Tamandua tetradactyla: one gene and its partners. The protein of the gene in region 3 purifies or fractionates together with the protein of the main gene of each other region. This does not show direct contact. Links are inferred from orthologs where the notes say so. Each region holds a gene or a part of one and is shown on either strand. Other genes may lie near its edges. The genes, in order: UBXN8, UBAC2 and TBC1D15.

Evidence for each region.
Region 1: the proteins of TBC1D15 (region 3) and UBXN8 purify together in Homo sapiens (affinity purification with mass spectrometry; 3 studies listed by BioGRID and IntAct, counting the BioPlex papers as one, with this or other methods). This does not show direct contact. The link is inferred for Tamandua tetradactyla from reciprocal best matches to the Homo sapiens genes TBC1D15 and UBXN8.
Region 2: the proteins of TBC1D15 (region 3) and UBAC2 purify together in Homo sapiens (affinity purification with mass spectrometry; 3 studies listed by BioGRID and IntAct, counting the BioPlex papers as one, with this or other methods). This does not show direct contact. The link is inferred for Tamandua tetradactyla from reciprocal best matches to the Homo sapiens genes TBC1D15 and UBAC2.

What each region holds. Positions count from the first base shown.
Region 1 is NC_135352.1:12,814,487-12,821,677, reverse strand, and holds the start of UBXN8 (UBX domain-containing protein 8), read left to right. Parts: upstream 1-4,169; 5' UTR 4,170-4,198; coding exon 4,199-4,286; intron 4,287-4,472; exon of another isoform or gene 4,473-4,820; coding exon of another isoform or gene 4,821-4,866; intron 4,867-7,191. UniProt on the Homo sapiens protein: Involved in endoplasmic reticulum-associated degradation (ERAD) for misfolded lumenal proteins, possibly by tethering VCP to the endoplasmic reticulum membrane. May play a role in reproduction.
Region 2 is NC_135330.1:168,146,477-168,154,182, forward strand, and holds the start of UBAC2 (ubiquitin-associated domain-containing protein 2), read left to right. Parts: upstream 1-4,652; 5' UTR 4,653-4,846; coding exon 4,847-4,877; exon of another isoform or gene 4,878-5,320; intron 5,321-7,706. UniProt on the Homo sapiens protein: Restricts trafficking of FAF2 from the endoplasmic reticulum to lipid droplets.
Region 3 is NC_135333.1:140,430,228-140,437,506, forward strand, and holds the start of TBC1D15 (TBC1 domain family member 15), read left to right. Parts: upstream 1-4,206; 5' UTR 4,207-4,309; coding exon 4,310-4,339; intron 4,340-7,279. UniProt on the Homo sapiens protein: Acts as a GTPase activating protein for RAB7A. Does not act on RAB4, RAB5 or RAB6.

The DNA of each region.
Region 1 (7,191 bases), on a different chromosome or scaffold from region 3:
ACATTTTTCTCAAGTGATCATGGATCATTCTCAAAGATAGACCATATGCTGGGTCACAAAGCAAGTCTTAACAAATTTAAAAAGATTGAAATCATACACAACACTTTCTTGGATCATAAAGGAATGAAGTTGGAAATCAATAATAGGCGGAGTGCCAGAAAATTCACAAATACATGGTGGCTCAACAACACACTCCTAAACGAGTGGGTCAAAGAAGAAATTGCAAGAGAAATAAGCAAATACCTCGAGGCGAATGAAAATGAAAACACAACATATAAAAACTTATGGGATGCAGCAAAGGCAGTGCTAAGAGGGAAATTTATTGCCCTAAATGCCTATATCAGAAAAGAAGAAAAGGCAAAAATGCAGGAATTAACTATCCATTTGGAAGAACTGGAGAAAGAACAGCAAACTAATCCCAAAGCAAGCAAAAGGAAAGAAATAACAAAGATTAGAGCACAAATAAATGAAATTGAAAACATGAAAACAATAGAGAAAATCAATAAGGCCAGAAGTTGGTTCTAAGAGAAAATCAATAAGATTGATGGGCCCTTAGCAAGATTGACAAAAAGAAGAAGAGAGAGGATGCAAATAAATAAGATCAGAAATGGAAGAGGAGACATAACTACTGACCTCACAGAAATAAAGGAGGTAATAACAGGATACTATGAACAACTTTACGCTAATAAATACGACAATTTAGAGGAAATGGACGGGTTCCTGGAAAGACATGAACAACCAACTTTGACTCAAGAAGACATAGATGATCTCAACAAACCAATCACAAATAAAGAAATTGAATCAGTCATTCAAAAGTTTCCTAAAAAGAAAAGTCCAGGACCAGACGGCTTCACATCTGAATTCTATCAAACATTCCAGAAAGAATTAGTACCAACTCTCCTCAAACTCTTCAAAAAAATCGAAGCGGAGGGAAAACTACCTAATTCATTCTATGAAGCCAACATCACCCTTATACCAAAACCAGGCAAAGATATTACAAAAAAAGAAAACTACAGGCCAATCTCTCTAATGAATATAGATGCAAAATTCCTCAACAAAATTCTAGAAAATCATATCCAACAACACATTAAAAGAATTATACATCATGACCAAGTAGGATTCATCCCAGGTATGCAAGGATGGTTCAACATAAGAAAATCAATTAATGTAATATACCATATCAACAAATCAAAGCAGAAAAATCACATGATCATCTCAATTGATGCAGAGAAGGCATTTGACAAGATTCAACATCCTTTCCTGTTGAAAACACTTCAAAAGAGAGGAATACAAGGGAACTTCCTTAAAATGATAGAGGGAATATATGAAAAACCCACAGCTAATATCATCCTCAATGGGGAAAAATTGAAAACTTTCCCCTAAATCAGGAACAAGACAAGGATGTCCACCCTCACCACTATTATTCAACATTGTGTTGGAGGTTCTAGCCAGAGCAATTAGACAAGAAAAAGAAATACAAGGCATCAAAATAGGAAAGGAAGAGGTAAAACTATCACTGTTTGCAGACGATATGGTACTATATGTCGAAAACCCGGATAAATCCACAACAAAACTACTAGAGCTAATAAATGAGTACAGCAAAGTAGCAGGTTACAAGATCAACATTCAAAAATCTGTAGCATTTCTATACACTAGCAATGAACAAGCGGAGGGGGAAATCAAGAAACGAATCCCATTTACAATTGCAACTAAAAGAATAAAATACTTAGGAATAAATTTAACTAAAGAGACAAAAAACCTATATAAAGAAAACTACAAAAAACTGCTAAAAGAAATCACAGAAGACCTAAATAGATGGAAGGGCATACCGTGTTGATGGATTGGAAGACTAAATATAGTTAAGATGTCAATCCTACCTAAATTGATTTACAGATTCAATGCAATACCAATCAAAATCCCAACAACTTATTTTTCAGAAATAGAAAAACCAATAAGCAAATTTATCTGGAAGGGCAGGGTGCCCCGAATTGCTAAAAACATCTTGAGGAAAAAAAACGAAGCTGGAGGTCTCGCGCTGCCTGACTTTAAGGCATATTATGAAGCCACAGTGGTCAAAACAGCATGGTATTGGCATAAAGATAGATATATCGACCAATGGAATCGAATAGAGTGCTCAGATATAGACCCTCTCATCTATGGACATTTGATCTTTGATAAGGCAGTCAAGCCAACTCACCTGGGACAGAGCAGTCTCTTCAATAAATGGTGCCTAGAGAACTGGATATCCATATGCAAAAGAATGAAAGAAGACCCATGTCTCACACCCTATACAAAAGTTAACTCAAAATGGATCAAGGATCTAAACATTAGGTCTAAGACCATAAAACAGTTAGAGGAAAATGTAGGGAGATATCTTATGAATCTTACAACTGGAGGCGGTTTTATGGACCTTAAACCTAAAGCAAGAGCACTGAAGAAGGAAATAAATAAATGGGAGCTCCTCAAAATTAAACACTTTTGTGCATCAAAGAACTTCATCAAGAAAGTAGAAAGACAGCCTACACAATGGGAGACAATATTTGGAAATGACATATCAGATAAAGGTCTAGTATCCAGAATTTATAAAGAGATTGTTCAACTCAACAACAAAAAGACAGCCAACCCAATTACAAAATGGGAAAAAGACTTGAACAGACACCTACCAGAAGAGGAAATACAAATGGCCAAAAGGCACTTGAAGAGATGCTCAATGTCCCTGGCCATTAGAGAAATGCAAATCAAAACCACAGTGAGATATCATCTCACACCCACCAGAATGGCCATTATCAACAAAACAGAAAATGACAAGTGCTGGAGAGGATGTGGAGAAAGAGGCACACTTATCCACTGTTGGTGGGAATGTCAAATGGTGCAACCACTGTGGAAGGCAGATTGGCAGTTCCTCAAAAAGCTGAATATAGAATTGCCATACGACCCAGCAATACCATTGCTGGGAATCTACTCAAAGGACTTAAGGGCAAAGACACAAACGGACATTTGCACACCAATGTTTATAGCAGCGTTATTTACAATTGCAAAGAGATGGAAACAGCCAAAATCTCCATCAACAGAAGAGTGGCTAAACAAACTGTGGTATATACATACGATGGAATACTATGCAGCTTTAAGACAGGATAAACTTATGAAGCATGTAATAACACGGATGGACCTAGAGAACATTATGCTGAGTGAGTCTGGCCAAAAACTAAAGGACAAATACTGTATGGTCCCACTGATGTGAACGGACATTCGAGAATAAATTTGGAATATGTCTTTGGTAACAGAGTCCAGCAGGAGGTAGAAACAGGGTAAGATGATGGGCAATTGGAGCTGAAGGGATACAGACTGTGCAACAGGACTAGATACAAAAACTCAAAAATGGACAGCACAATAATACCTAATTGTAAAGTAATCATGTTAAAACACTGAATGAAGCTGCGTCTGAGCTATAGGTTTTTGTTTTGTTTTGTTTTGTTTTTACTATTATTACTTTTATTTTTTTCTCTATATTAACATTCTATATCTTTTTCGGTTGTGTTGCTAGTTCTTCTAAACCGATGCAAATGTACTAAGAAACGATGATCATGCATCTATGTGATGATGTTAAGAAGTACTGATTGCAAATGTAGAATGGTATGATTTCTAAATGTTGGGTTAATTTCATTTTTTCTGTTAATTAAACAAAAAAAAAGAGAAGGGGTAATTGGAGCTGAAGGGATACAGACTGTGCAACAGGACTGGATATAAAAACTCAGAAATGGACAGCACACTACCTAATTGTAATGCAATTATGTTAAAACATTGAATGAAGCTGCATGTGAGGTAAAGGTTTTTTTTCCTCTCTATTATCATTTTAATTCTTATCCTGTTGTCTTTTTATTTCTTTTTCTAAATCGATCCAACTGTACTAAGAAATGATGAATATGCAACTATGTGATGATATTAAGAATTACTGATTGTACACGTAGAATGGAATGATTTCTAAATGTTTTATTAATTTTTTTTAATTAAAAAAAAACAAAAAACAAAAAACCAGGGAGGCTTATCTCAGACCCACCCAAGAGCCCGTTTTAAGGCCTTTTCCAAAATTCCTCGCTTGGGAAGAAGTCCTATCCCTCCACCCCGGACCTCCCGCCCTCCGGACGACGGCGCGACGGGAAGGGGCGGGCCTTCGCCCTGACGCGGAGCTCCCGCCACAATGGCTTCTAGAGGGGTTGTCGGTATTTTCTTTCTCTCTGCTCTCCCTCTCTTGTGTCTGGAACTCCGACGTGGGATCCCGGATCTAGGTAAGCATTGACTTTTGCACCCCCTGACTTCCCACCTGGCTCTTTGGCGTAAGTGTAGCGTATAATTTCCGCGTGGACGGCCGCGTTGCCTCTGGGCGGCTTTGACTACGATTCCCAGCCTGCACCGCGTCTGCCCCTCTTCCGGCGCTGGCCCGGCGGGCGTCCCCTTTGGGAGCGAGTCTCGGGAGTTGTGTAGGGGTGGGGACTGTGGGTGTGGGTGGGTTCTTTCCTTCGTTGCTCGTGAAAAGTTTCCCTCCGGTATTAGCTCTGTTCTTAATGGATTGCTTACGCTAGGTCGCTGGGATCCTGGGGTCCGTGTTACCAGCGCTGGCGAAGTTTTGACCTTAGAGGGACTGAAGGAAAAAGCGCAGGAACCAACAATACTTTCAAATTGATCTGAACGCCCCCACGGGAAGAAGCATAATGAGAGGATGAAGGCTTTCTGAGGGATTTTAGCTGAGATTTGCAGGATGATAAGGAGCCACCCTTGTGAAAAGCCAAGGGGAGAACATTCCAGTCATAAGGAATTGTGACATGTTGGAGGAAAGGGGTGAAGGCCTTTCAGGCTGGAGCAATGAAGGTAAAGGGGAGTCTGGCTCAGGATGATAATGTTTGAGTCCCGATTATAAACCAAGTGCTTTTTATCTCATTTACTCTTCACTGCAATCTTGGGAGGTGGGTGCTTATTCTAATTCCCATTTTTCAGCTAGGTACTAGATACATGGAGAAGAGTCTTTCCTGAGGTTTTTAAAAGATCATTCTGGATTCTGTGCGGACAAAATTTTGGAAGGCTGTAGTGGAAGCAGTTAGGTGCTTTAGGCTTCTGAAGTAGGCAAGTAGGAATGATAGCCTGGATTAACAGAGGAAATGAAATCTGGACAGATTTGGGATTATTGAGGAAGTAGAATCAAGAGATCTTGTTGATGGATTGACCTTCGAGGTGAGAGGAAAGGATTCAAGATTGACTCCCACATATGGGGGTTAAACAGGTCTAGGTAGTAGGGCGTTAAACAACTGTAGGTAGTAGGAAGTGCCATTGGTAGGGGAAACAGAAATACTGAAGGAATATTGTGACAAGGAAATTGAAGATTAAAGGATTATGATTACTGAATCATTATATAGTTGTTTTTCTTTCTATATTGTAGGCAGAAGTTAATACCTGAAATTAGTGAAACTCAACTAGTCTCAGCCCTGTTTATGCTTACGTTTGTAATGGTTATTGTAGCTTAGTCTCAGCCCTGTTTAAAGGTGCTGTTGTAATTGTTATTCTAAGCCTATCTCAGCATGGTATATACTTAGTGAAAGGTTTAGGAGGCAAAAGGGTGAAAAAGAAGAAAATAGACCAGGAAATTTAAAGTGAGCGAGTTTATTTCTGCGCTCCTGGGTAGAGCTCACTGCATCCAAGATGGAGAGAGGTGAGTCCGCACGTGGGCTTCAGTGCGGGCAGCTTTTAAGGATGGGGGTCAGGTAACATCCGGAAGGGGCCGTTCATTAGTTCCGGAAGTCAGGTTGGGAAGGGTGACACAGCCTCTGCAGCTCCAGCTGCAGTACCTTTCCCCATTCCCCCGACCTAACATTCCAGCCTTTTTGTGATAATAGGGCGCCGAGATCTTTCTGGCTACTTCCTGCTATAATGGGGCGGCGTGGGGTTATAGGCCGGAACCGTCATGGTCAGGGGAGTGGGGAGGCTGGCTATAGGAATCTGGTGAGGAAGGCAGGTGATGATAATGATGCAGGAGCCTCTGGTTGACTGCTACCTGGGCTAGTTCCTTCCTGCGTCCCTGAAGGAAGTTGAGGAGGCAGGAAACTAGGAGGAAAAAGAGACAGATTAGGATAACTGGTCCTAGTAGTGGGAGGAGCCATGTTGCCAGGGGAGAGGAAAACCAGCTTAAGGCAGAGTTGGTTCCTTGTTTTCTGTGATAGGGATCCTCTCTTAGTTTGTTTAGGGTCTGAATATTTTGTTCCACCTGACCCGACTCGTTGATGTAATAGCAGCATTCCTCTTGTAGGAATATACACGTTCCTCCTTTTTCGGCTGTCAGCAGGTCTAAGGCCCATCGATTTTGAAGAGTTACCTGGGCTAGTGAGGTGAGTTGGTGTTGTAGAGAGGAGAGGGATTCTGATGTTGATTCCAGGGCTACCTGTAGTCGAGTTTCGAAGTTTTGAGAGGTCAAAATATTGTGTCCCAGCACCCTTCCTGCTGTGGCTGAGGCTGTAACTGAAGCGGTTAGGCTGACACCTACTAGGATAGGAAGAAAGGAAGCCCTTTTTGAGCGAGGAGAGGGCAGTAGCCAGGTTAGTTTGGACTCCCCATAGAGGGTCAATTGAGGAACAATAGTTACCAGGAAGCCTGGTCCCGGGGCAGTGGAACTTTGGGCAAGGTGGCTGGAGAGGCTTTGCTCAGCCTGCAAAATGTCCGTGGATATCCGGGTAAAAGTAGTATTAATGAGGATATATTTGTGGTGTTTTCAGTGGTGCTTACAGGGTATTGGGACCAGCCACTGTAGTATAGCTTGCCTTGGATTCCTGCTACCCATCTTGTGTCCCAGGGATCTGCAGTATTTATGTAAGATTGCTGGGAGCTAATGTAGAAGGTACCTTTATGAGCTGCCTCCACATAAGCATCATGTATTCTGCATGACCAATAGGGGCATTCCCCCATATATATTGTCATAGTTGTTTTGGTTACAATAGCTTTCAGTTTGGGCATATGGAAAGCAGGCATATGGCCTTGGGCCCTTTTCAACTGATTTAGGATTTATGGGGATGGTTATAGGCTGACTACAACCTGTTAGAGGGCAATCTCCTGTGCCAATCATATGAGTGGTCAATCTATCATTTTGGCTAAAGATTTCCCTGATTTTGAACTTCCATACATAGGATGCACCCTCAATGGGGGTTAGGA
Region 2 (7,706 bases), on a different chromosome or scaffold from region 3:
AAAACAATTTTATTTATGAAATAATTCAAGTTAAAAAGAATCTCAAATCTTCTTTGTTATATTGTTCCATTATATTGAAACCCTTTCACCTAAACATGCAGTTGGAAATGCTTGTAATAAATAACTTCACTTCCATTTTAAAGGAATGCAAGTTTTAGCTCAAACTAAAACTTTTTGTAAAAAGATTAAATAATTATTTTATGCCCCATTTTTTTTAGCACCATTAACTTTTCCTGCAAATATTGGCTTATTAATATGCTGCATCCTTTTCAACTGGGTAAGTTAACAAATCTGATATTAGTAATTCATACTAATCTTTACATAAGAATATTTTAAAGCATGAAAATCAGCCATTTCTTTCTAAATCAGTATCCTTAGACCTATCCTTATTCAACTGCTACAGACTGAAAATTCTGGGCGTCTGTTAAAATGATGAAAGTTTATTGAAAATTTCCATAATTTCTTTCTCCTTAATAATATCGATCTCATTTGCTTATAGTTTAAGCACTTCAGTTAGCATTTTTGATATATGTGAAGTATATGTCAAGCGATTTCATAATATTTTTAACACTATTTAAATTTTCATTTATTGAAACAAAAATTATATGTTAGTATTAAAGAATAAATTCAATGTTTTAAAAGAATTTTCTTTGGAATGCCATCCCATTTCCCTATACAGGATAAGACAAACTCCTATTCATCATTTCCAACAGGCTTTTAACCTACAGACATGTGGTGGGACCGTGAAACACTGGCTAGGGGAGAAACCAATCCTCCTTTGTGATCCATCTGGAGATTTTCTTTCTGATGCTAAAACTCAGAGATGTGTTTTATTTTATTGAAAGAATACAATGCCTTCTCATTAAAAGAGACTGAAATAAGTAGGATACAACATTTTATAAGACATTCCCTGCCTTTTAATGGCTCACCCTTTTCTAGAAGTCGGAAACATAATAATTGAGACAGTGGGATAAATATAACATAGGTGTGCATAAACTATGATGGGAGCACAGAATAGGGAATAAGTACTTCTGCCTGTTAGGGTCTGGGAGAGATATTATTTGAGCTGATTTTTTGGGAAGAGTTTATCAGGCTGAAGGAATTGTAGCTCCATCCATTCTATGATGTTCCTAAAGCACATAGGTAGCAGTGCAAGTATCTCAAGATGAATCAGATTACTTTTGACTACTTCTGGATCTTTCTGGTGGAGACAACGCTTCACCTTTGTAATGCCTATACAAATGAATATTTATTTTCTTACACTGTACATACATGGTGAGTTCCCAAGGCTTAAAAGCATACTATTGTCCAATATAGAAAGCAGATTCAAAACCAAATTCCCTACATAGCAAGGCAAAAAGATGATTCCTAGTAACTGACAGACTTAGTTTTCCGTAATAAAAACCACAGAAAAGATAAGGGGGAAATACAGGCACAGGCAACAAAAATGACAGACACCAGGAGTTCATGATAAAAGTTGGATGAATTACGCTAGTGTAGAGTTTCTCAATCTCCACACTATTGATGTGTTGGGTCTAATAAGTCGTTATTGTTGTGACACCCCAAAATGTCTCCAGATAATGCCAAATGTTTCCTGGAGAATAAAAATACCCCCTGATGAAAATCACTGCACTAGTGCTACTCAAATGTTAATGTGCATACAAATGACCTGTCTTATTAAATGCATATTCTGCCTTAATAGGTCTGGCATGGGTCTGGCACTATAGTCCAAACCAGATATCAAGTGAGGCCCATGCTGCCCCTCCAAAGACCACACTTGCTTTTTGGAAGACAAACCTTCAACTTCCTACCAATCAATAGGTACATGTCCTCAGGGCATACAGTTGAGGGACACTCAAGTTATGGATCGCTGCAAATACTTTCAAGCAAGGTCTGGATACCATTTTAATTATATTGCATTTTGTTGCAAAGACTGTAGAATTGAACATAACTGAAGACTTTTTAAAAAAAAACCTTTATCTTCAACAGTTCTCATTCTTTTTGTTCTTGGGAGCCTTCTACATTCTTTAAAAGTTATTGAAAACTAGAACTTTTGTTTAAAGGCTATATCTATTGACATTTACCATACTAAAAATTAAAACTGAAAAATCTTAAAAATTTATGAAATTCATTAAAAAAAAACACTATGCCCATCACAGGCTGAATTAAATAACCTGTTAATGAAAAATTACTGTACTTCCCCAAGCAAAATATTATGGGGTAAGAATAGCATTTTGTCACATTTCACAAATGTTTTTAATGCATGGCTTGATGGAAGACCCCTGGATCCCCGGAATATCAAACAAAGGTGTGAATTCTTTTGCCAATGCCTTCAAATGATGAACTCCTGAGACACCTGGGTTTCAAAGAAAGAAAAAGTTTATTAGATTCAAAATATATCTCCCTGAACTGCAGTAACTCTCATAGTTTTATAGCATCAAAAGATGGGCAGGTTTTAGGATAATGAGCACAATGGCTCCAGATGATGTAATTAGAGGTGATTTAATTATTGAGCAAGCACAGGCTGATTACATGCTTAGTCATAGGACATACATAATAACGGCCTTAACATGATGATGGATATGATTTTTAGTTATTGTAATGAGATTTCGGTGACTTATAGGTTAAAGTCTAAGCTACTGCGCACATCAGGTGGGCCCATTTTGGTTAGATCAGTCTCAGTTATCAAGATTAACTTTAGACTTAGTTCGGGGCAGACCCAGGAACTTTCATTAACAAACATTAGGGGCTGTCTTTAGTGATCACAAACTCTTAAGTCAAAAAACTGGATAAATGGGTACAAGTGAAGGTTAATCACAAGGTTTTCATAATCACAAGGGCACAAGATAAAGCTGTACAGTCATTATTAGAGATCAAGTCACCTGGATTACAATTCAAAGATTTCAGGTATTTTCCTGTCTACTCCCACACACTGGAAAGCAAAAAAGGAATATCTATGTAATGACTCAGCAATTAAAGTCATCCCTTTTTTTTTTTTTTTTGCATGGGCAGGCACCAGGAAACAAACCCAGAACGCTGGCATGGCAGCATCCCTCATATCTTAATTTCTTATTTACAATATTTGTGTGTTTTTGGTTTGTGTGATATATTGTTTGCTTGAAGTATATGAAGTAAATCTGGCCTCCCACAGATAAGTAATAAGGAAAGGAACATTTTAACAGCAGCCTTTTCAGATAATCTTTACTGATGCTATACCAAAACTTAAGTGGTAGTTTCTTAAAGACTAGTTGCAGTGAGGAATCTGAAGCCATATCAATGAACATTTTGTACTGTTTAAAGTCAATGGTTTATCTTGCAGTTTGAATAATTTTTTATCCACTCATACTTTTGTAACATCATGCACTGATCATCAGGAAAATAACGGTTCACTAAGTCATGCAGATTTTCCAACTGTACAGTGGAAAATTCCACAAATACTCCTGCGTGGATAAGAATAAAAAAACACAAACTGATGTTTTGGTCTTTTGCATCCCTAAAAGATCTGGGCGATTGCTCAGGGACTTCCATGGACTGTCCTATGTCAGCTACACGTTTTGTGACCAAACAATTTCTGCAAACAGAAAAGACGTTTAAACTATGGTTGCATCGCAAAATAAATCAACTGGATGAGCCTAAAGTTAAAATATTAAATGTAGTTTATAATTGTGAACAAATCTTACAAAGAAAAACCTAAAGAATAAAATAAAACTCACCGTATGTTTGCCTTCTAGAAATAATCAACATTAATATTCTGGTTCACTGGAATCTATTGAGGGCAGGTCTGTATTTTATTAATCAGATTTAGCACACCCATTGGCCCTTATAAGCACTCAGTTTTTTTTAATACGCATATTTTTAAAATAGAGTTTTGAAGCCTGTCATTTTCACTGAGCCTTGAAGTGTGTTCATATTCCCATAAGATGTAGTTTAAAACTTTTTAACGACTCAAAAGTTTTAGGCTAAAACTCATATTAAGGAAACCTTAGCTTTGTTTTACGAAAAGTAATTTCATACTGCAAGCTAAAAAAAAATTAAATGACTTAGAATTCATTAAAGGACCCACGTCTGAGGACGCCAGGATGCAAGTCTGGGGAACAGAGCCGCCCCCGTTCCCACATTACTTCTGCCAGGGATCCCCGGCCATAGGCCGTCCGCGGCGTTAGCAGGACAGGGTGTATCCAGCAGCCCCCACACCGGTCCCGGGTTCCGGACCACCATGCTCGGCGCTTATCGTGGAGACTCGGGTGGGGCCGACGAAGGGAAAGGGAACAGCCAGACGGCCCGGTTCCTGCGGCGAGGAGGGTCGTCCAGCTCCCCTTTCCTCGCTGCGAGGCCGGCTGACCAGCGTGTCGGCCCTGACTTGACGCCGGAACCTCAGAGAGTTCTGTGGTCCACAGTTCCCGGCCGAGCGAGTGTCCGCTGCAGGCCAGAGAGTCTGCGCGACTGGGGAGGTTGGAAAAGAAGACGCAAGGAATGCCTAGTCCAGCATTCCAGAGGAACCAGCTGAAAGCGGCGTGGGGTCGGCGCTGAGCAGAGATGCGCGGTTCCCGCAGCTAAGCCTCGTTTCCTCCCAGGCCACCTCATTTTTTCCATACGGTTACCTCGGCCGTCGTAAAAACCCGGAGAGACGACCCCCGGCGGTTGTGGACGCACTTCCCTTCCCCGGCAGGAAGGGAGCTTCAGAAGCCGCGCATGCCCCGTACGTCAGGCGGGCCCTCCAGTACAATCGAATCGTCTGGTTCACCGCCTCCTCTGTAGTGCGCCTGCGCGTCGCCGGGCCTCTTCAACGCCGGTTGCCCTCCCCTTCTCCCCGCCCCCTCGCAGGGGCTTCGGACCCGGCGGCACCATGTTCACCAGCACCGGCTCGAGTGGGTTTTGTGAGTACCGGCCGCCGCCATCCTGGCTGTCTCCTACATGTCAGCCTGGGCACCTCCTTGAGGGAAGTGGGGACAGCAAGGACCCTCGGGTTTGCAGGAGGTTTGGGAGCCGATCCTCCATCTCCGCCCCCGACCATTCATCCCGGCTCCGGAACTCGGTAGTTCCTGCCCTGGGGGGCAGCGGGTACTGCCCCTTCTACCCGAAGCGGCGAGTGGGGAATAAGTCCCGCCGCCAGCCTCGGCCCTCACCTGTGAGCCCCAGGTGCGATGCCTTGGTGCCCGGGGGTCTGCTGCAGGTGGGCTAGGCAGTTAGGATCAGGCTGGGTGACTTCGCGTTCTCCTAGCCCGGCCCCGCGCCGTTTGAGGCGTGGTTGCCAGACGCTGAAAGTGCCAAGCCGAAAGAAGAGGCTGTTCCGTTGCAGGCGTGTCTGGAAGCCTGCCCCTTTTCCACTCACCTTGCTCTATTCGTTTAGACTACAGTCGGACCGACTTTCCCAGAAGCCGATTTCAACCTCTGCTTCAGGAGCTGATCCCTCAGTTTTACCTAGATTTGATTCCTTCCCAGTTTCCCTTAAAAGTTTGTAGTTAAACGAAAATTGGTTAAAATACTTTAAAGTGGTGGGAAGTGAGCACGTGCTTTAGTGAGAAATCGCACTTTGCTGTTGTACGTTCCTATATTTTGAGTGTTAGAGGTGGTCAGAAGATAGAGGACAGAGAAAGATATATATTGTTTTAAATAATTGTTTCTCACCGAAATTGAGTATTTAATTTACTTAAATTAAATTAAATTAAATTAAATTTAAGTAAACTGATGAGGTGTGTTAACTAAACAACACTGTGTTAAGTAAACCACACTGAAGTTAGGCTTGACCCATCAGTTAACTGTTTGAACAACCATAGTTTGGGGATTCATTGTAGTGCTTCATATCTCTGTACACGTGAAGTTAATGTTGCCAGAGTGCAGAAGCATTTGCTATTTCCAAATATTAAAGATCTGTTGTGAATGTCACCAATCTATTTCTGTGACTATATATGTTAGTGTGAGAGTGAGTTAGTGTCAGAACTACAGGCTTAATTTTAAATCTTCCTCACTTCACAACTTCTCAGGTTTTGATGTTTGATGTTTATGATTTTCCTTGTTTCATAATTTGAATTATGGCCTCTTTCATGAATTGGCCTTAGAGTACAATTCAACTACGAGGTAATTAACCTCCCTAAAACTACCTCTTGGATGAAGGACATTGTAACTATCAATGAAACTGGCAGTCAAGGAGGGGGTGTGATTTTCCTAGGATCACACAGTGAGTGAGTGGTACACTGGTGAATACGAAGTTTTCAGCAGAATTCTTCAATCCTGGTTGTTCTTTCAGTGTTTTGAACTATCCTGCCTTGTTGACTAAAATACATATAAAACATTTTTTTTTAAAGGCAAGGAAAATCTGTTATTGGTTATTATGCTGTTATATTATATTGGCAAAGTTCATTCAGACTTGATAGAGGGTTCCTCTGGGGAGGGTAATACTTTATTACCTATGGCACAGGGTTGATGAATATTGAATTGTAGGAACCAAAATGTTGCCCCAGGGTGAGGCCTAGGGCAAGGACTCCTCAGTTGTCTTACCCTGTTTTTAAAATAAGTGCATTCATAGGTTGAGTTGATAGGATGGCCATTCCTCAGAAGACCATGTCTTATATGTTCATTTAACAAACATTTGGGGCATCTGCTATGGACCAGGCACTGTGTTGAGTTCTGAGAAAACAGCTTTATACAAGTCTGTCCCAGTACTTGCGTGCTTATAGTGGAGTTTAGGCACACTTTTTCCCAGGTCTGGTCTTTTGTTTAAAAATTAAACAAAATTGTTTAAAAATTTTTTTCTTTTTTCTGGCAAGACTACTTACTGAGAGGTACATGATTTCCATTAAATAAGAAGTTATGTGGCCCTTGTTAGGTCAAAATGCTGATCCTGAGGAAATAACAACATCTGCCTATGCTTGTTCCCAAGGATGGTGAATAACATTCTCTTTTTCAGTGGAGAAATCCCTGCCATTTGCTGCTGGTATCATTGTGTTACACTTGATTTTTTTTCTCTCCTTCATTCGTTCATTCAACAAATGAGTAACCTCATAAGTCACACACTGTTCATGCACAGAGGATAAAATGGTAAACAGGATGAAAGAGACCAACATAAGTATATTAACAGATAATTAACGTTATTTCACACAGTGGCAAGTGTTATCAAGAAAATAAGACGGTTATGTAAAGTACTGTTTTAGTATGTGAGGTCAGGGGAAATACCTGGGAAGGTGATGTTTGAGCTGATACCCAAACAGCGTGAAGGAGTTAGCCATGCCAAAATTTGTTGAAAATTTTTCATTCTGAAGAGAGTGAACGGCAAGCCCAAAGTCTCTGAAACATTCATAGCAGGGTGTTTGCAAGATACTAAAGAAGGCTGGTGCATCCAGGGCAGTAAGTCAAGTACTGTTTTAGTATGTGAGGTCAGGGGAAATACCTGGGAAGGTGATGTTTGAGCTGATACCCAAACAGCGTGAAGGAGTTAGCCATGCCAAAATTTGTTGAAAATTTTTCATTCTGAAGAGAGTGAACGGCAAGCCCAAAGTCTCTGAAACATTCATAGCAGGGTGTTTGCAAGATACTAAAGAAGGCTGGTGCATCCAGGGCAGTAAGTCAAGGGTAGGGCATTTGAACCTGGCATGTAATTAAAGCTGACTTTTTTTCATGTGGCGTTCAGTGGGTTCTTCAGAGACTCCCACAGTTGGGAACCTCTTATCTGCCACTCCCTTGACCTGTAGTGGGGTGGGGAAGGAGAT
Region 3 (7,279 bases):
TATGAATAAAGTTGTTCATAACCATGGCAAGTCATTAATCTCTAAGAGGTTCAACTTTCTCAATTGAAAAAGTTACTAGAGACTATCACTAAAGAAGTCTCCCCTAGGTCTAGAGTTTCTTTAAGGCATTTATTATTAAGATTCTTTTGCATCATATGACTTTCAAGTGATAAATTATAATTAGTGAATGACTATACAGTTTTGGTGAGTGAACCTAGGAATTATGAAATTACTTGATTCTATGACAACATTAATTATTTTAAGTTATAGCATAACTTCATTTACGTTACATTTTATATGCATGCTGTTTAAGGAAAGAAAAAGACCAAAATATGTCTTCTTGCTATACGTAAGTGTATTCTGATTTCCCCCCCACCAATATAGTAAAAAAACTGAAATCTGAAACAAAACACTTTGAAGTTGTGGTAGGTTGAACCATGTACCCCAGAAAACCATGTTCTTAATCTTAATCCATTCCTGTGGGTGTGAACCCATTGTAAATAGAACCTTTTGAAAATGTTATTTTGAGTTAAGGTATGGCCAACTGAATCAGGATGAGTGTTTGTGCTGGTTTGAAACTATTACGGACCGCAAAAAAGTCAAATTCTTTTAATTCTAATTCAATCTTGTGGGGACAGACCTTTTGATTAGGTTGTTTCCATGGAGATGCAACCCACCCATTCATGATGGGTCTTAATTAGTTTATTGGAGTCCTTAAAAGAGTTCCTGAGGGGGTGCAAGGGTAATTCAGCAGTAGAATTCTTGCTTGGGTTCAATTCCCAGCCCATACACTGCCCCAAAACAAACAAACAAAAATTCAACAAATGGTGCTGCAATAATGGGATACTCACATGGAAAAAGAATGAAAGCTGCCATAGAGCATACAAAAAAAAAACCTCCGAGAGAGAGAAAGAGCTCAGAGCTGACACAGAGAACAGATGCCAAATGCAGATGCTTGGAGAGCTGACACAGAGAGCAAAAAGTTCAGATGCTTGGGGACATACAGAAGCTCAGAGAGGAGGCCACTGGAACCAGGAACTGAAAGCAACAAAATCTGGGAGCAAAGGGCCAGCAGATGTCACCATGTGCCTTCCCATGTGACAAAGAAACTCCAGAAGCGAGCAGCCTTTCTTGAGTGAAAGTATCGTCTTGTTGATGCCTTAATTTGGACATTTTCATGGCCTTAGAACTGTACATTTTAACCTAAAAAATCCCCTTTATAAAAGGCAACCCATTTAAGATATACGGCAGCATTAGCAAATCAAAACAGTATTAATCCTATTATACTGAAGGCCTTATAGAGAAGACCACAAGGAAAGAGCTTCCCGGGAGAGGGAGAAGCTGCAAGCCAGCAGAATCTGGAAGAAAAAGAACACACAACCATTTATACTCTATGTGATAGAAAAGTCACGGGCCCATGGATCACTGTCAGCCAGCCCCAGAATACCACCAGACTTCAGGGAGAAAGCATTGCCTTGCTGAACATCTTGATTTTGGACTTTTCTTAGCCTCAAAACCATGGGCCAATAAATTCCTATTGTTTAATTTAAGCCAATTCATTTCATATTTGTGATTGCTTCTGGCAAATTAAGAAAAACATCCTGACTTTGTATAGTGGTTTGGAACTGTATGTAACCCAGAAAATCATGTTCTTAAAGACAATCAATTCCTGTGGGTATAAACCCATTGTAAGTAGGGCCTTTTAAGGAGGTTACTTCATTTAAGGGATGGCCTAGAATGAGCCTTAATCTCCTTCCTGGAGTCCTTTATGAGAGGATGAAATGCAGAAACAGAAAACCATGGAGGCAAAAAGCTGAAAGCAACAAAACCTGAAACAGAAGGGAGAGACCAGCAGATGCAGCCATGTGCCTGCCATATGGCAGACAAATCAAGGCTTATTGGCAGTCAGTCAGGGAAGAAAGCAACACCTTGATGATGCCCTGATTTGGAAATTTTTCTCAGCCTCAAAACTGTAAACTAATAAATTCCCATTGTTAAGCATGGTATCTGCTTTCAGCAGCCTCGGAAACGAAAATATCTTGTTTCCTCCATTTGCTTATATAGAGAGGATATTGTTTAAGAAGGAAAATAGATCTCTCTCCTCTTCAGTGGAACTGTTACGTTAGGAAATATGCCTTTCCTAAATGGGTCAGTGATTCAAATAAATGTATTCAACAAACATTCATTTTGTGTTTATTGTGTGTCAGGCATTGGTGCCAGGTGTAATGTCAGAGATGGAGAGTGTAGTTCCTCCTTCCAATAGTTCACAGCCTAGTAGTAAAGGCAATTCAGAAAACCACCAAATCTTTCACAGTGTGATAAGAGCATAGGGTGCTATGGGATAGTATAACGGAATCTCTGTGATTGATGTCTTTTTGTTTGCCCAGCAGCCACTCTGCTTTTTTTTCTGGAATAGTACCTGGATTTTTCTCTGGCAAATTACCCTGCCACGTGGAGTGGGGCGGAAGGCATATGATTCAAACCTGGGTGTGCCACAGTGATCGGCCCAGGACCTTCCCCACAATCCAAGTAAAAATCTCCTATGGTCAGTAGTTGTCTTGAGACACAGCCTGGCACATACAGGAAACAGAAGATATTTGGCTATGTTTGGAGAACTGGGTCTGAAAGGGAAAGTTATTGGAGATAAGGCTGAAATGGAAGGCAGAGTTTATGAAGGATTTTGTGCTCTATGATGGGAAATTTCGACTTTTTTTCCTCAAGAGGTGGGAACATTAAAGGACTTTAAGCGGAGAATTCACATGATCACATTTATGCTTTAGAAAGATCTCTCTGGCAGGACTGTGTTTGATGGATTCAGGGGAAGATGAAGCAAAAAGCAAAGGATTGAATTAGGATGCCACTGCAGTTGTCCAAATCACAGGTAATGAGGAAACTGAACCATGTGAGTAGCAGTGAGGACAGTAAAGAGAGGAGTTATGGAGATGCTGTCCCATCAGTTTTCCACAGAACATCTCTGAAAGGGGAAACATAGCAGCAACACCTTTCCATAACTGTCTTTAGTTCAATAAAGGGTAATAATTTTCAGGGAATAAAAATAAAATTCAAGTTTCACTTAAGACTGTATTTCTCAAACTTAAATGTGCATCCAAATCACCTGGGGATGTTGTTACACTGAAGATTTTAATTCAATAGGCCTGGGGTGGGCCCGGATAGTCTATTTCTAACAAGCTCCCAGGTGATGCTATTGCAGTTGATCTGAAGACCCCACCACATATCCATTCTCATCTAAATTCCTGACGCCTCCCTCAGCCATTAAGCTTCTGATATTCACAGAACCTGCAACCCTCCATTTCTGTGGTTCCCTTTGGTTGCCAATTACCTCAATCAAGGTCAAGAGCCTCTAATACCTCTCTACTCTGTAAAGATAAAACAGAAGCACCTCAGGGGGGCACAGGTGTTTTTGGTGAAAAGGAGCCTAAATTCTGTCCAAAATCTAGGGAAGTTTCTATAGAAATTCTCGACCTTGGCCCGGAGCTATCAAGAATTGTATCCACTCATTCTCTCGGATTCGTTTACAGCACGGAGAACAAATTAACATCTCAATATCTCAACAAGTCATCTTACCACACATGCTCTGTCCCATGTGATCAACCACTTCATGGGTCACTCTCATTTTACATCCTAAGGCTTGAATGAATTGAGAAACCTGTTTAAAGTCACACAGCTATTAAGCAACTCTGTAGGGGCAATGAGCAATGTGTTCTGGAGTCTGGAGCAGTGAGGGCGTGGTATTATTGCTGCTTTTATCAAAATACCTTGTTCACGGTATTGACTGAGCGGCAGTAACCAGGTTCAAATTTAGAGAAAAGTCTCAGTGTGTGTCTCTCGAACAGAGCGCTGTGGTTCCTTTAACCTTCACCACAACCCTACCATCTCAATTTCACACAGGAAGAAAGTGACGTTTAGAGGATGTGAGTTGCCTACGGCCATAAAGACAGAACCACGCTTGCTGGCTCCCAATATGCCGTTCTTTCCACCATTCCAAAGTGAAGTAGCCGCCTAAACCGTCTGTGTCTCGCCTCCGGGAAAACCTCGATTCAAAGACATTCAACTATGGTTCATAACCAGAAAAATTAATTTAGCACATGCGCAGTTCTCAGCCAAAGACTCCACCCGAGCGACCGCCGAGCCCTATTCAGCACGCATGCGTCAGACCGCTCCTCCGCGCCTCTTCAGTTCCTCCCTACCGCTTTCCAGGCCGGATGCCCTCTGAGTTTCGCCGGATGTTGTTGTGAGTTCGAGAGACACGTGAGGCCTTGCTACGTCATCACAGGCACGCTCGGGAAACATGGCGGTAGCGGGTGTTGCGAGCGGGAAGGTAAGTAACGGCTCCGCGGAACACTCCTGTTTTTCTCTTGAGCTGTGTCTTTATCGCCTGGGGACGCGCCGCGGAAGAACGCGAGGGTCTTTCTGCAGTGGGGACAGTCCATGGTAGATGTAAGAAAGGAAGACTGGGTGGTGTCAGCTGTTTTCCCCAGAATGCCGCCTCAGCCCGGGAATTAGAAGCCGGGCTCTTGCTCCGAGGCCACCTAGGCCTCGATGCTCTTCTGCTCTGCTGTGCCCCAGTACTGGAGGGCTTTTATTCGTCTTGCTTTTTCTAAGAGATAGAAAATTAATAACATTTTATTCTTAACATTAAAGAATAGCATTTCCTTTTTTTCTTGCACGCTTTTTCCTGACTCTAGTTCCTTGTGTCTACTTTTCTCACCCCAGCGTCTTTTTTTCTCTTTATTTGAGGCATTAATCTGACTTGCCGCTGCCTTCATTTGCTGCATTCTACTGAAGGCATCTCCTCCTTCGCGAGGAACTGAATAGGTGCTGTGCAGTTGTATGCTTAGGAGAAAAATGGTCATTGTACCCATCTTATCAGACAGCTGAGTTGGTTAGTAGTTGTGAGCAGCAGGGCATGTTTCTACTCCAGAGCTGGAGATTTCCTCCATCCTTTGCTGGTCTAGTAAGGTGCTGCTTGTTCTTGGTATTTCCTAGATAGACAGCTTCGTGATGTTGCGGAGGTGGTGTCTGCGGTGCCACTGATTACAGAGGCGATCAGTGAACCTACCCCTTGTTAATTAGGGTGTGGAGGATATCTTACTGTATAGTGTTTGTTCACATTCCTAGGGCACATCTTATGCCTATTTTTCAGGGCAGTCAGCTTCCTGACATTGGCATTTCCCAGTGCAGGAGTATTTGGTAAACAGCTGGAACAAGTGATGACTCATCGAACACTAAGGTTTATTTACCTTTGCAGATAGCTTCCCCTCTTCCTTTAGTTTCAATAATATTTTTCCTACACATCTCCCTCCTCATCCCCCCTTCCCAGCCTCACTAAATTATCTGATAGTGTTTGTGGTTTGGTGTCTGGACTAGTAGGCAAAGCGACAGAACAACAGATATGGTGGTATGGACCTGGTTTTGTTACTAATCTGAAGTGTGGCCTTGGGAAATTGGGCAGTTATGCCTTTGTTTGCTTATTCTTTTTGCAGAAAGAGTCCAGTCTTTCTTGTACTTGTTAGGTTTACATGAAATGTAAAAAGGCTTTTTAAAAAGGTTCCTTACTTCTACATCCTACGTACTTTAAATTATAGATGGAATTATAGGTTGATCATCCTTTTTTGGATATTCACATCCCTTGGTTTCCTGTTAGTTTTATATTTAGGGTGAATGTTGATCTTCTCCTTGCTCACAACATATTTGAAAGCTATCGTGCTTGATTTTCAATCTGAAATGATCCAGAGGGGATCCTTTCCATTTGAAGGACACCTCCCCTTTCTTATAAGAGTGAATTAGTTTTGAAAATCCTTGAGATGATGAAGCAGAGTTGTTTTTTTTTTTATTAACGGAAAAAAAAAGAAATTAACATAACATTTAGAAATCATACCATTCTACATATGCGATCAGTAATTCTTAACATCATCACATAGATGCATGATCATCGTTTCTTAGTACATTTGCATCGGTTTAGAGGAACTAGCAACACAACAGAAAAAGATATAGAATGTTAATATAGAGAAAAGAAATAAAAGTAATAATAATAGTAAAAAAAAGAAAACAAAACAAAAAAACCCTGTAGCTCAGATGCAGCTTCATTCAGTGTTTTAGCATGATTACTTTACACTTAGGTATTATTGTGCTGTCCATTTTTGAGTTTTTGTATCTGATCCTGTTGCACAGTCTGTATCCCTTCAGCTCCAATTACCCATTATCTTATCCTGTTTCTACCTCCTGCTGGACTCTCTTACCAATGACATATTCCAAGTTTATTCTCGAATGTCCGTTCACATCAGTGGGACCATACAGTATTTGTCCTTTAGTTTTTGGCTGGACTCACTCAGCATAATGTTCTCTAGGTCCATCCATGTTATTACATGCTTCATAAGTTTATCTTGTCTTAAAGCTGCATAATATTCCATCGTATGTATATACCACAGTTTGTTTAGCCATTCTTCTGTTGATGGACATTTTGGCTGTTTCCATCTCTTTGCAATTGTAAGTAACGCTGCTATAAACGTTGGTGTGCAAATGTCCGTTTGTGTCTTTGCCCTTAAGTCCTTTGAGTAGATACCTAGCAATGGTATTGCTGGGTCATATGGCAATTCTATATTCAGCTTTTTGAGGAACCGCCAAAGTGCCTTCCACAGTGGTTGCACCCTTTGACATTCCCACCAACAGTGGATAAGTGTGCCTCTTTCTCCGCATCCTCTCCAGCACTTGTCATTTTCTGTTTTGTTGATAATGACCATTCTGGTGGGTGTGAGATGATATCTCATTGTGGTTTTGATTTGCATTTCTCTAATGGCCAGGGACATTGAGCATTTCTTCATGTGCCTCTTGGCCATCCATATTTCCTCTTCTGGTAGGTGTCTGTTCAAGACTTTTTCCCATTTTGTAATTGGGTTGGCTGTCTTTTTGTTGTTGAGTTGAACAATCTCATTATAAATTCTGGATACTAGACCTTTATCTGATATGTCGTTTCCAAATATTATCTCCCATTGTGTAGGCTGTCTTTCTACTTTCTTGATGAAGTTCTTTGATGCACGAAAGTGTTTAATTTTGAGGAGCTCCCATTTATTTATTTCCTTTTTCAGTGCTTTTGCTTTAGGTTTAAGGTCCATAAAACGCCTCCAATTGTAAGATTCATAAGATATCTCCCTACATTTTCCTCTAACTGTTTTATGGTCTTAGACCTAATGTTTAGATCTTTGATCCATTTTGAGTTAACTTTTGTATAGGGTGTGAGATATGGGTCTTCTTTCATTCT